2 linked regions of the Nothobranchius furzeri genome follow. Each later gene encodes a partner of the first gene's protein in a complex. Links are inferred from orthologs where the notes say so. Each region holds a gene or a part of one and is shown on either strand. Other genes may lie near its edges.

Region 1 (2,302 bases):
GCGTAAAGCGCGTTGGAGTCCTTAGAAGCGCTATACAAGTGCGGGTCATTTATCATTGAAAAATTGGGACCACCACCCCGGTCTGCCACTCCACAGGAACTGCCCCTGATGACCACGCAGTGTTGCAGAGACGTGTCAACCAAGACAGTCCTACAACATCCAAAGCTTGGAGATACCCAGGTCCGATCTCATCCACCCCAGGGGCTCCTCCGCTGCGTAGTTGTTTGACTACCTCAGCAATTTCTGCCCCAGAGATTGGACAGTCCATCCCCAGGTCTACCAGCTCTGGTTCCTCCTCGGTATGCGTGTCAGTGGGATTGAGGAGCTCCTCAAAGTATCCCTTCCACCGCTTGACTATGGCCCCAGTTGACATCAATAGCTCCTCATCCCCACTGGAAACAGTGTGAGCAAGTTGCTGCCTTCCTTGGTCTGACGGAAAACCCTTGTGTCAGACATTAGTTGCTGCTGAAAAATACTGTCAAGAGTTCATGGACCTCACCTTATTGATGTACAGATTTGCTTGTCCCTTTCCTCCCTGGACACTAGTCCTCTTGAGGTGAATGAGCTGGAGTACAGAAGGGTAAAAGTACGTGGACATTACGACCACTCCAAGGAGCTATATGTCATGCCCCGCTCGCCCGTTAATCCGGAGAAGGAAGCCAGAGAGGCTGGAAGTCTGTCCTCGAGTGGAGAGATCGGCGCTAATGTCATCACCCCGTTCCACTGCACCGACCTTGGGTAAGTACGCACGACGGTGTTCCTAACATCACAGCTGATAGTTTAAGAACTAACCTGCAGCTGCTCGTTTCTCTGCAGCACCACAATCCTGGTGAACAGAGGATATGTTCCAAAGCAGAAAGTCAGACCAGAAACGAGGATGAAGGGGCAGGTTTGTTTTTTAGTATTCCAAGACATTTATTTTAGACAAGATTTGACTGATTTAGTTATCTTTACCCTATATTCACTGTAATTTAAAGGCACGCGTCTGAAACCTAATCTGTTTAAATCTTCTTTTGGCTGAAAGTGTCACTGTTAGCCTTCATTAATCTGGTTTTTAGTTTTATGCAAATTCAATTTAGCAAAAATTAATCCATCATTTGACATTTTTAATCCTTTAACGCCAGCTGTGCTGCTTTCGTGCAGGTGGAGGATGAGGTGGATGTGGTGGGAGTCGTTAGGCTGACTGAGAGTCGGAAACCATTTGTACCAAACAATGATGTGAACAGAAACCGCTGGCATTACCGTGACCTGGAGGCCATGGCCAGCGTCACAGGAGCAGCACCGATTTTCATTGACGCAGACTTCGGTAAGATCTCCATCACAATCCAAACAAAAGTTTCAGCTGGCTTCAAAACTAGTATTTCCATTGTTACAAAACTCATAATTTGAGATGTTCTGTATTGCGCAGAGAGCACAATCCCTGGAGGGCCAGTTGGTGGACAGACCAGAGTCACTCTGAGGAACGAACACATGCAGTATATAATAACATGGTGTGTTCAGTGAACCTTTATCTTTTTTAAAACCAGGAAACAGATTTATAAATATTCCTTCTCCTTTTGCAGGTATGGCCTGTGTGCAGCTACGTCCTACATGTGGTGGGCCAAGTTCATCAAAAAGATTAAAATGTAATTCAGATTGCAACAGAAATGTTTCCTACTGTATACCAATATCAGCTTGCTCAGTACTTTTATTTATCCAACAAGAAATAAAATCTTTGGTTGTGGGAATTTTATTTGAAGCTATAAGTGGCTAAGAGTTGCACCTGTTTTATAAAGAGCCAAATAAACGTAAACCAAGCTAGCTGGTAAAAAAACTTTCATTAGAAATTTAATTACAGTGAAGCTCCAGCTGTTCACACATTTATACAAGTACAGAACTAATGCAGGTTTAACTTGGATTAGTTGAGATCAGTTAGATTATATCAGACCCATGAAAACCATCTGACCTTTTAACTAAAGGATCCACAAAGTTTCTTCTCACCTTGCCTTTACGGTACAAAGAAATTCTGCTAAAATTGATAAGAATAAGTAAATTTAATCAAACTAACCTTTATACATTTGAGATGATTCTTTAACTTAACAGTTTGTACAACACTAACTTTAAATGATAGACAAACTCAGTAATTTTAGGACATAGATTTTTTATTCCAAACATTTTAACCAAGCTTGGTTGCCAGCTCCTTGGCCTTTGCTTTCTCCAACTTAGTGAAGCGGGCTGTGGATTTGGGGCCCAGGATGCCACCTCCCCAGTGACGACGGATCTGAAAAACAGGTTTAGGTTGTTTGGAAAGTTTGTTTTGAGA
Region 2 (3,760 bases), on another chromosome or scaffold:
TTCGCGGGATAAAGAACTAGATGTGTTGCATCCCGGTTTTCATTCAGACATAAGTTTAAGGTTTATTTAAAATGTCTACGAGATGTTTGGATAAAAATACCTGAGATACAGAACTCCGGCTTCTTTTTTAACAGTTTTAGAGGCAAACGACAAGAGCTGCTGGTCATCAGAGCAGCATTCCTGTTGCATATGGATGATGCAACCAGTCACAACATGGAATGTTGAATTTCCAACTTCCTTACATTCTTGGAATGAAAAAAGGGCGCGACCACCACATAGTTCTGTCCTAACCTTTACTGGAACTGAAAGTGTTGAAAAGTAACCCAAACATAAAGATAAGTGCTCCGCAGAGGATAAAAGTGCATGAATTATTTAAAAACAAACAATGTAGTACCACTAAACTGCACCTCCCCACGGCTCACGCCCCCACTAGTTAAAGCAAACAGGGGCAAATGTATGTACCCATAAATAAAGATTGTCTTATTTTGGTGTTTTTGATTCAAGAAAACTAAAATGGGATCATAATGTGTGTCTTTCCTGGTAACTAAGCCCCCAAGAATGAAAATTTCAGCTGATATTTTCATTGATGAATGCAGACACAATCATCTGACTAAAGAACTGAGTTCTTACTTGTTTCTTTAGGGAGTCTGAGGCGACAGTGTCCCACCACAGGCGAAAGAACTCCTGTTCCACAGCGATGAACCTTCGATCTTTGTACTTTGACAGCTCCTGGGTCACACTGGTGTACACGTTAGCTGCATAGGCATGCATGCTCTCCTGCAAAACACACACACACACACACACACACACACACACACACACACACACACACACACACACACACACACACATACACACACGCACGCACGCACGCACGTTTAGAGGGGAAAACACACATATTCATTTGGAATTCAAGATCACCCTCCACTACCTGAATGGTGTAAACCCAGCCAACATCCATGTGACTGTGAGGAATGACAAACGTTTGAATGGGCTGATCCTCAGCTGTCGATTCATGTGAACAAAATAAACAAAAACACACAAAAACTGTAAAAAACATATTTTTTTCCATCCTGAAAATGAGAAAATTCGTTCGACAAAATCCACCAGCTTCACTTCCTTATCATGTTGTTGTTTAGAATGACTGGCATTTCATACGGAAGCCCTGGTAGCCCAAAAGAAGTGACGCGAGTGACGTTCAACACTGGTGTTACATTCAAATGCGCCCCCTATTGTGTTTAAATCATGCCCATGCTATTTCACACTTATATAGTTCAAAATAATTTTAAAAAACTGCTATAAGGAAAAATCTTCATAAGTTATTTTTAAACAAATTTTAGCAAGTAGCAAACTGAAATAAAACAAAAAAATCTCAGTGTTCAGTTGGATAATAAGCTCACACATATCAAATAAATGAACTTATCTCATATTGTCAAAGACAATTTTGTTCTTTGAAGCTAAAATGTGTAAAAGTTAGCAAGACGGAAAATATTTTGATGTCTAGTTTGGGAACATTTTCAGCGGACACATTTCTATGTAGAACATATCATGACGTAATGGCCGGAAGCTGTCGCTGTAAACGCAAGTAAACACGCTTGGAGGTGAGAGACCGCCTCTGATGTAAGAAAATGTCCAAAAACGCTAAAATAGTGTTAATATTCGGAGGCTTCGTTACGGCGGTGGCCGCTGCGTTTTACCCCATATTTTTTTATCCTCTAACACACAAAGACGATTACAGTAAGTGCTTATTTTCCAACACGAGCACTCAACTGCTTCATATTGTGTTTTAACTTGAAATCCAGCAATGCTAAATGTTGTTTGACACGATTGAAACGCTAGCTAACTTTAGCTTGTTTACCACTGACTTTCTATGACAGAGTTTTTAATCCCGTAGTGAAGAAATCAAACCAGCAAAAATAAAATAAAAATCTTAACCAACAAATATGTTTTAATATTAATCTTGTGTTCTGTGTTTCTGTGATTTTGCCAGGAGAAGTCCAAAAGGTAAACCGGGCAGGAATTAACCAGGCAGATGTGCAGCCAGTTGGTAAGAACTAATAATAAAACAAAAATCAGCAATAGTGATCGGCTGTTATCTGGGTCACTCCATTCCCTCAGACTCTACCCAGCTGTTGCCGCCATTACTTTCTGTTATTTATCTGTATATTCAGTGTTTTGATACAAAAAGTAGATTTATCTCCCATTTAATTAAATTCCAACCCTTAAATCACTTTCAGCTTTTTTCAACTAACAAAATCAATTTATTAAAATGTACCCTTAAAGCTCATTATCTTAAATTTTAATTATTATTTTTATTTATCTCACTTATCCGTGGGTCCAAGGCATTTTCTAGGACTGTAAGAAGTTCAACTTCTTTTTTGTAGAGCTCGTTCTGCCCTTCAGTTAGTCTTTCATAAAACTGCATTCATAAACTCTGTTTTTCTGTCAATAAGGGGTTCTGTGTGTACAATGAGAAAAAAATGAATGTATTGTTTTCCACAAAAACTGCAATATAAGAGGAAGAAGAAGAAAATATAATTTCTATAGTGCCTCTGAAGATAAAAATCATGAGGTGCTTCACATAAACAAAAAATGTAAAAATATCAAAAAGAATTTAGAAAATTGTTAAAATATATTTAAAATTAGCAAAAAAATAATAGACAATTGTGATTAGAAAATGTAAAGAGAGAGAGTGAATAGGAAAGAGGGAAATCAGTGGATCCTGAGGAAAGTGGAATAGGTGGGGAGAGCAGAATAAAGAGAGAGTGGTGAAGAAGGTCATGCAAAAGCCACTTTGAACAGCTGATTCTTCAGCTGCTTTTTGAAGGAGACCACTGAGTCCACTGATCTCAGGCTCAGGGGGAGAGAGTTCCAGAGTCTGGGGGGCCACAGCAGCAGATGATCTGTCACCTTTGGTCTTTAGCCTGGTGCTGCACAACCAGTAGGCTTTGATCACTGGCCTCAGGGACCTGCTGGGGGTGTAGGGACTAAGAAGATCACCAATGTAAGATGGTGCTTGTTCATGTAAGGCCCTGTAGACCTGAACCAGGATCTTGAAATGAACCCTGAAGTTGACTGGCAGCCAGTGAAGCTGGAGGAGAAGCGGGGTGATGTGGGTGTGTTTGGAGGACTTGGTCAGAAGCCGAGCACAGGCATTCTGAACCACCTGTAGACGGTTCAGGGAGGTTCTGCTCAGACACGTGAAAAGAGAGTTACAGTAGTCTAAGCGTGAGGAGATGAAGGTGGGGGTAACGATCTCAAGTTCAGAGTGGGACAGAATGGGACTCAGCTTAGCAACGTGCCTGAGATGGAAGAAGGAAGAGCGAACAAGAGAACTGACATGAGAATCCAGGGTGAGAGCTGGGTCAAAGGTCACGCCAAGATTCCTGACGGAAGGTTTGGTGTGGGAAGCAAGCTGACCAAGAGAGTCTCTGACTTTGGGAACCAGCTTGTCTGGGGCACAGATGAGGATATCAGTCTTATCTTCATTCAGCTGTAGAAAGCTCCCAGCCATCCAGGTTTTGATAGAGTCTAAGTAGGTGTGTAACATCTGCAGCTTAGACATCTCATGGGGCTTAAAGGAGATGTACAGCTGGATGTCATCTGCATAAAGATGGTAGGAGATTCCTTTGAAGGAGCTCAGGATGTGCTGAAGAGGAAGCAGATAGAAGAGGAAGAGCAGAGGCCCCAGCACAGAACCTTGTGGGACACCATGGGTAAGAGAGGTGGTGGAGGACCTAAACTTGGAGACGGCCACAGA

The links. The genes of interacting proteins can lie anywhere in the genome.
Region 2: surf1 (region 1) and smim20 share a complex: the UniProt entries of both Homo sapiens proteins name them as parts of the MITRAC (mitochondrial translation regulation assembly intermediate of cytochrome c oxidase complex) complex. The link is inferred for Nothobranchius furzeri from reciprocal best matches to the Homo sapiens genes SURF1 and SMIM20.

The regions. Positions count from the first base shown.
Region 1 is NC_091746.1:62,106,546-62,108,847, reverse strand, and holds the end of surf1 (surfeit locus protein 1), read left to right. Parts: intron 1-546; coding exon 547-738; intron 739-816; coding exon 817-889; intron 890-1,143; coding exon 1,144-1,306; intron 1,307-1,408; coding exon 1,409-1,490; intron 1,491-1,562; coding exon 1,563-1,629; 3' UTR 1,630-1,732; downstream 1,733-2,302. Other genes in the region: rpl7a (large ribosomal subunit protein eL8), read right to left, coding at 2,156-2,260. UniProt on the Homo sapiens protein: Component of the MITRAC (mitochondrial translation regulation assembly intermediate of cytochrome c oxidase complex) complex, that regulates cytochrome c oxidase assembly.
Region 2 is NC_091742.1:58,396,544-58,400,303, reverse strand, and holds the start of smim20 (small integral membrane protein 20), read left to right. Parts: upstream 1-1,535; 5' UTR 1,536-1,628; coding exon 1,629-1,737; intron 1,738-1,990; coding exon 1,991-2,047; intron 2,048-3,760. Other genes in the region: man2b2 (epididymis-specific alpha-mannosidase), read right to left, coding at 631-777, 932-1,072.